Linked DNA regions of Xenopus tropicalis. The protein of the gene in region 2 binds, or shares a complex with, the protein of the main gene of each other region. Links are inferred from orthologs where the notes say so. Each region holds a gene or a part of one and is shown on either strand. Other genes may lie near its edges.

Region 1 (4,384 bases), on a different chromosome or scaffold from region 2:
CTTTGCAATTAAAGGTATATTGTATAGAATGTTAGGTCTTTTGTTGCAAACCCAAAAGCAAACTTTTTTTTTTTTTTAAGCCCTTTAACTACTTTTGAGTAATTGTCAGTTAATGTAATCAGCTTATTGCCTTTGTCACCATGACAAACCAGAGCAGTAAAAAAAGTGAGTAGGATTAACACCACCCTTGGATAACTGGATTACAGATTCCACAATTTACTTTAGAAAAATAAAACCATACCCTCTTGTAAATGCATCTTTCCTATTTGTTAAACATTATGCAGAATCTGTATTGCTCATTGACTAAAGGGGGTGGGGGAGGAGGGAAGAAAAACGTAAGGAAAAGGTGATAACCTTAATGATTAACAGAGATTTACACCCTTTCCAGACACTTAAAGCCTACATGAAGAAAAGTATAACTTTAGTCAGATGTCATAAAAACCCAAAGTTACACATTTAACCATTGCAAAGTTTCAGAGTGAGTTTTCAGCCAGTATAAAGCCACTTAAAATGATTACCTGAATGCTGGATTGCTGCCATAGCCCTAGAGAAAATTTCAAAAACCTGGATAGGCAAAGTTATCAGTGCCTATTTTCAAGAAACAAAGTTATGGTTCAGTCCCAGGTGTAGTACTACAAGTAAGACATATCTGGTATAATCAATGCATAACATCACCTATACACTGAAAGTACTTCACTAAAGGCTCCAATGAGAACAATGTCACAGACTGGATCATCACCAGATTTTAATGTGTGAGCTATACATACAAGTCTTTTGGTCTTTCAGCCAGTAATTCTATTTGTAGCTGGACTGGTATATAACTGGGCTGACCACTTTCTCAAACAACTTCTAGGTCTATGAACAACCAGCAACAATTTGCTGCTGCATTCATAGCATCCTGGTTTAGCTGTGGTATGGGATCATTTCTAGTGGATGATGCTTATAACAGATCTCTGCATTATGAAAGAACATTTAATTCTAATCAACTTTCCAGTATCCATCAATTAAAAACAAAATCAATGAATTTAAATGTAAATCTACTTCTATTCCCTATCTTCACTACTAGATCTGACTCCTTAAAGACGAAGCAGAAGCTACCTTATTAACAGACCTGTGAAAGAGAATGTAAGATCCTGGTGGGAACTGCTGGAGCCTTGGCTAGAAAAGTGCTGGCTCCTGCAACACTATAAAAAAAAGAGGCCTACCAGAGAACCAGGAAAAACCATAGTGGGCCCCAGTCCACATGGGTCCCTGCATCCCAAACTCCCCTGACTCAAACCAGCAGCTGCAATTCAACCAGGTCTAAGTTTAGAGAGGCTGGGTAATGGTCGAGGAGACTGTGAGGGTGGTTGGTGTTCCCAGTGGGCCCGGGTATCCTGTCCAACACTGGCAGAAAAGAACAAAACATACTACTTTCAAATGCAAGTAAAATTAAATGCTGAAAACTGTTACTATATATTGCAAAGTTTCTCAAAAAATACATGTTATTTCCTTATTAAAATAAAATTTATGTAGAGTTTGGTGAAGTTTCTCTTTAAAATATGTAAATGTAATCACTATTGAAAGCAGTCCTTAAGCATGTACCACTAAAACATTTTTGTAATCGTCTGTACTTCTACAGCCAAGACTCCTTTTCCCACAATGACTTGCATGTTTTGCAGCAAGTAAAGAAGAAAAAAGAAAAAGTCTGCAGGGCATTGTGGGAAATGTATTGACCCTTGGCATGGAGGGAAGTACTTTACTGCAACAATGTTACAAGTATTGTAGTCAGGACCAACAATGTATAGTATTTTTAATGGTAACTGCAATTACAAATAACTTTAAAGGCCAAGGAAAGGTAAAGTTAGCAGGCTGCACTGTACCAGGCCAGCAATGATACTGGGGTGATCCAGTACTTAAGCAACATTGGCCAAGTTGGACCCAGAAGCTCCAGGATGATGGCAGCCGAAATAAAGTCATTGTCTGGGGTTATGAGGGGCTGCTCTGCATAACTAATATTTAGTAACATTTTCACTTTCCTGGTCCTTTCAAATCAGCAATTAGTGTATATTGGAAACTTGCACAGACTGGACTTGGCTTTCATTATGCAGAATTCTATATTTAGGTTTACTTCTCCTTAACTCATACCACTCACTGTTAAGTGAACATTTAGTCAGTCAGTCATACCTTCAACTTATAATACCATAAATGTTAATATCAGCACCTTTGGAATCAGCAGTTTTCTTCGCCTTAATGAAGTCGCAATCTGCTAATGAATTTGACTTTATGGCCCCCAGTAAATAGCTCGTTTCCTGGTACGGTCTCTTGCCCATAATTGTAATCATTTATAGTTATATAAATAATGAATGAATGCGTGTTATTTTGCTCTGCCAACCCCCGAGCCCGAGTCTGGCCCTAACACACAAAGTTTCTCTCTATATATAGATACTTAATAATGCCTTGGAGCAAGTTTCAGTTCTATATTATGGGTTTATGAGAGCAAGCCGGGCTCTAATGTAGCCACGGAGGAACAGACTCCTCCTAGCTCTGAAGTTTGTGCGGTGATAAATAGTAGCCTTTGGCCTGACAGAGCGGCTCTTCCTTCCTCTCACTGACACCCCAGGCCCAGCTGGGATTAGCATTACTCAGCACAAGGAAGCTCCACAAACCCGGCAACTCTCACTTCAAACTGCATCGGACCAGCCGTGACACCAGAACCAGAAACCGGAGCAATACCTGTATATCCGGAGAACAGGCGAAGCTTCACCAGGCCCAGTGTCCACAACACCCCAGAACCTTATACCCAGGCACCGGAAGTTCGCTCTGAGAAGTGTCCGCCGTCCTGAAGAAGAAACAAGGCGTTGCCCGGAATCAGTCCAAAGAGTTTACCTTTCAGGAGGCCGACCTAAACATGTGCCGAGAACATAGGGAAACGTAGTTCTTTTCAATGATCGGCGTACAACAAGACAATCACAGGTGAACTACATCTCCCGAAATTCCGTTCGAGGTAAAGGCTTGTCATAACAAAACATGCCCACTTGTCAGATAGTACGCAAGGTGGGCGGCCTGCTCCGACCAATAAGCGCTGTGAAAGTGGGCATGTGCCGTTTTGATTGGCTAGTTAGTCGTGATGTAAGACTTACCAGGGAAGCTTGTGGTGCAGCTGAAAAATCTTGGGCTGCACTCAGCTGGAGGAGGCGGTGGTGTGGGAGCAGCTACAGAGGTGAGCGGAGAGTATCGCTTTAACCGCGCTGTGTATCCATGCTGTCATGCCCAGCTGCCATGCGTCTCCCAGGTCCTGGCATGCTCTACCCAAGTCTCTCTAATTGTAATGTGCAAATGGGGCTTTTCGCTCCGTTGTATTGTGACAGCTTGTAACATAGCAGGAGATGAGACGCAGGCTGGGGTGTGCTTGTGAGTGCCGTTATATTACAGAATGGGATTTCGGTGAATCATTAGCGCATTTGCACAGGTGCAGTGGTACCACACAGTCCCTCCTGGCATGGATGTGCTTCATTCTGTATGTTATAGGGATATATAGTTATATCCACTTATAGGGAGTCATTAGCCAGAAACACAGTTTTGGTAAAGTCCAAGTCAGTAATTGATGCTTTTGTGCTGCCCAGCCCCACTGTTTGAAGAGGGCACAATGGTTTGCACCTCATGACACAATAAAGGGTTATTTTTTCTTTTTAATGTCGTTCTGCATGGAATTAGTATATGTTGGCAAATGAAGTTGTATGTGCCTAGAGTGGTTATTCGTTATAGAGCATGCCTTTGGTATGCTGCCTTGTATTATTGTGTACAGTGCCCACTTGGGAGGATGAGTATTATGTGCTCACACCTTCCACACTGTGTATTTATTGTAATTTAAATATATTTAAGTTTCATAAGCTTTTAACAAGTTCCTCCACACACAAACTGGTTATTGTATAATAAAAGAATGTCATTCTAAGCAACTTTCACCATTCGGTAATTAAAAATCTCAGTGGCTGGTTTAAGGCAGGGGTGTAACTAGAGGGGAGAAGACCTTAGGAACGTGGTGGGGCCGCAGATAGAGTTTTATGCTATGCTATGCAATAGAAATGTATTTCTGTATATAGTGTGATTTCCCTCATTCACCTTATTTTCAATGTAATTGTTTACATAAAGCTTTCTATCTTTTATTTTTTACTGTTTCTCTACAATTTAGATTTTAAAGGGATACGGTCATGATTTTTATGGTGTACTTTTTATTTCTAAATTACACTGTTTATATAGCAAATAAGAATAATTTACACTACCATTTAAAATTTTTATTCTTAACCAACAATTTTTTTTTTTTTTTAGCTGTAATATTGGTGTTTAGGCGCTATCTCAGTGCATTGTGCCTGAGTCTGAGCTTTCAGAAAGAGGCAGCTCTACA
Region 2 (3,650 bases):
ATAGATCAAGGCTGTCCTGCAAATAAGTTTAAATTAATGTTTAAATAAATGGCTGACAAAGCCAGAACATTTATAAACATTAATGGAAAATCAGTAAGAAGGCAATAGTCACAAATGCTAGTCCATAGCACTTGCCCCTTTATTTTCACTATTAGCTCTAATAACCATAATCTGACATGGTAATTATACATGATACAATACAATATTGAAACCAGTTTATAAGATCAAGTGAATGGCAATAAATGGCTTAGAAAGAGGTTAATTCAAGGGGTTTTAAAAACCTGGTAAAAAATTATTCCATGAATCATATGCAGTGATCATTGGGTTGTTGAAGTGTTACAGGTATGTTCAAACAACCTTGTTGTTGACAGAAAAAAAAAAAAACAGAGCACTAAACTACCCAATAGGGTAAAATATCACATTTTATAGTATAATTAGCACAACTAATGTATATTTGGCAAAGCCAAGTTCAATCAGCTGTTTGAGACTGCACAACTGAAGTCCATGAGGGTTTAAAATGACTAAGGTAGTTGCTAAGCCTATGTTCTTGATGGGCTGTTATATTTCTAACACTCAGCCCTGATTAGTGAATAATGGCATATTCTGAGGCTGCAGAAGCAGAACATATTGCCAAGAAGATATGAAATCACTTTAAAAAAATGTATGAGCATATCAAGGAAAAAAGACTAACCCTGCGACTTCTGCGCCCACGTTTCTGCTGCTCTCCTAGCTCAATGCCATAAGTAGGAGGGGAGATAGCCTTCATGTTCTTCATCACCTGTATGCTGTCCTCCAGTAAGGGTGGCAAGCCAAGTTCTGATCTTTTTTTCTCCTTCATGCTCTGAAGCTCAGGGAAACCACCTAATGTAAACTTAATTGGAATAAAATGTTAGCAGGGTGGCATAAGCAGCACGGTTCTAAAGCAAAACTTTTGCACATACAGGGGGCAGTGGGGCTGCTGTAAGATGCCATAAGATACATGTAAGATGCTGTTTGGGTCTCTCTGTTGCTGATATGCCACCTATTTTGAATTCCATCCCAGTTATTGGGATGCATAAATTTGACATTCAAAATATATCCCATATATACCCATACATGAACATATTTAATATATAGTTTTTGTTTTCCCATATTAAGTGTTTGGTACTTGCTAATATTTAAAGGGCAATGTCAGACATAGTGCTTTGTAACCCACGGGAGATCACTCCTTCTAATCCATGAAAATAGGATTGAAACTAGCTTTCAGTCCAGAAGAATAAGAATTACCACATGTAAAATGCCTTCTTAAATGCCTTCTTCCACAGGTGATTTCCCATACGCAACAAATTTCTATGTCTGATACTGCACTTATGCAATATTTAAGATTATGTTAGGTTTTATGAGATAGTGCTTGATTCAGCTCAATAAGAAAACCAACACTGAAGTTTGTTAAGAAATCTGAAATTGAATTACAAGGTTTTTCTAATACAATGGTTGTCAAAGTGTTTCAGTTCAAGCCCCACTTGAAGGTTCAAACCTAGGCCATGGTCCCAGATAAGGGAAAATATTGATGTATCATTCATTCACCAATTCCTAGAATATGTAGGACAGCAAATGTGTTTGTACCCAAATCCTTTAAGCGGGGCTTTTAGGTGTCTCTAGGAAAGAATAGCTATTTTACGTAATTCTATAATATTTAACATTATAACATTTAAAATAGAAATATATTTCTCTGTTCACTCTTTTTTCTATGAGATGAGAGAACTGAGAAATAATATATGTAGCATAGGATTTCGTCATTAATACATTTAAATAAATTATTTGGGACCATACCAACAGAACTTTCCAGAGCAGCAAGAGAACTTTTTTCATGGGAAAGTGGGGACAATGACCACTGCAGAATTTGGTCACCATTGCAAAGAGGAGATGAGCAAATGGCTCCTCAGGATGCACAGGGAAGGCTACAAAGAAAGACAACGTGTATTATGAAATGCTCCATAAATACTATTTTCTATCATATATAATATTAATTTTAAAAATATTTGAAATTGTATCAAGAACCAATAAAAAAACATTAAGCACAATTCTCCACTGATTAGGAACATAAAATTGTATTTGGTCCAATATTTTGACACTACACAGGATAGAATAATCATGCAAACAGTAAATGTTATTTTATTTTTGAAGGATAATATTGCTAAACTATTTCTGTGTTGTGATAAAAGGCCATTAAACCTTAACAATCTGATCTGATTATTTAGGGCTATTTCACATGTGGCGTTTTCTCTAACAGGACAGAAAATGCTAATATGCTTTCTTATGCCCCTATATCACCATAAGCCCTAGGCACCGGACCTAAATACATCTCTGGAGAGAGGGAGACAGGAGAAACCTGAGCAGGCTCGTGCCTGTGACCTGAAGAATTTTTCTGAGAGAAGGAAGTCTAACACTAAAAGACATGTGTACACAGAAGAAGAAAAGAAAAACTCTGTTTCTTTTGACTGCAGTTTTTCTGTGGGTGCTTATGGCTGTATTTACATAGTCCTTTCTGATAAAGCTTTCCTTTTCTTTTAAAGTGTAGGGCCCAATTAAAACCTATTAAAACATACCAGTTTCCAGATGGTTGTTTAGTGCATGATCATCAATAGCCAAGTCACACTGATCCAGTCATTAATGCCATTAAAGGAGAAGGAAAGGCTAATAAAGAGTTAATCTCAAGATGCAGACATACCTTCAGTTCTCTCAGTGGTGCCCTTAAGTCTCCCCATATTTCTCCTGTTCAGATGATCAGAAGCCTCATAGGAAAAAAAAATGCTGAGCTCTGTAAAGAAAATTCCCATAATGCCAGGCTCCTGCACCAAGACCAAGACCCCTGTACATGCGCAGTTTGTAAGACTATGAGGAAGCTTCCTGCTGAATGGCCCTAAGGGGGGGGAGGGCGTTCTTAGCATTCTTGAGGGAGGGGGGAGCTGGAGAGAGCTGCACAGACTCTGGCACAGGAAAACAAAGAGAGAAGAAATCCTGTTTCTTTTAACAGTGGGCTCAGTGCAGCGTTTCTGTGAGCGCTTATGGCTGTATTTACATAGACCTTTCTGATAAAGCTTACTTAGTTTTTACCTTTCCTTCTCCTTTAACAGATTAAATGAAAGGGAAATATTTGTCCTAAGCCACCAATTATGTCACCACTTTAAGCAAAAACACTGATGAAGCCTGTTTTAGTGGTATCCATACAGTCTCTCCTCACCAAGTTCTTCACGGAAATTAGCACGTAGAATTTTCCATTCTGGGTCATCATTCTCTGATTCTTGACGAATATTTTCAACCATCAGATACATAACACTAAGTAGAACCCTGTATGGGGACAAAAAACAACTAAAAAATATCTAATCACCCCCAAATTTTAAGTTAAAAAATATTTCTTTATTATTGTATGTACAGGTATGGGATCCCTTATCCGGAAACCTGTTATCCAGAAAGTTCTGAATTATGGAAAGGCCATCTCCCATAGACTCCATTTAATTTTATAAAATTATTTTTCTCTATAATTATAAAACAGTACCTTGTACCTAACTAAGATATAATTAATCTGGAAAACCCCAGCTCCCGAACATTCTGGATAACAGGTCCCATACCGTACTTCTATTTAGTGCTTTGCACAATTTCTTTTAATA

Evidence for each region. The genes of interacting proteins can lie anywhere in the genome.
Region 1: strip2 (region 2) and pdcd10 share a complex: the UniProt entries of both Homo sapiens proteins name them as parts of the core of STRIPAK complex. The link is inferred for Xenopus tropicalis from reciprocal best matches to the Homo sapiens genes STRIP2 and PDCD10.

Annotation. Positions count from the first base shown.
Region 1 is NC_030681.2:112,894,951-112,899,334, reverse strand, and holds the start of pdcd10 (programmed cell death protein 10), read right to left. Parts: upstream 2,811-4,384; 5' UTR 2,716-2,810; intron 1,363-2,715; exon of another isoform or gene 1,206-1,362; intron 1-1,205. UniProt on the Homo sapiens protein: Promotes cell proliferation. Modulates apoptotic pathways. Increases mitogen-activated protein kinase activity and STK26 activity. Important for cell migration, and for normal structure and assembly of the Golgi complex.
Region 2 is NC_030679.2:87,158,329-87,161,978, forward strand, and holds part of strip2 (striatin-interacting protein 2), read right to left. Parts: intron 3,331-3,650; coding exon 3,224-3,330; intron 1,941-3,223; coding exon 1,813-1,940; intron 872-1,812; coding exon 692-871; intron 17-691; coding exon 1-16. UniProt on the Homo sapiens protein: Plays a role in the regulation of cell morphology and cytoskeletal organization. Required in the control of cell shape. Calmodulin-binding scaffolding protein which is the center of the striatin-interacting phosphatase and kinase (STRIPAK) complexes.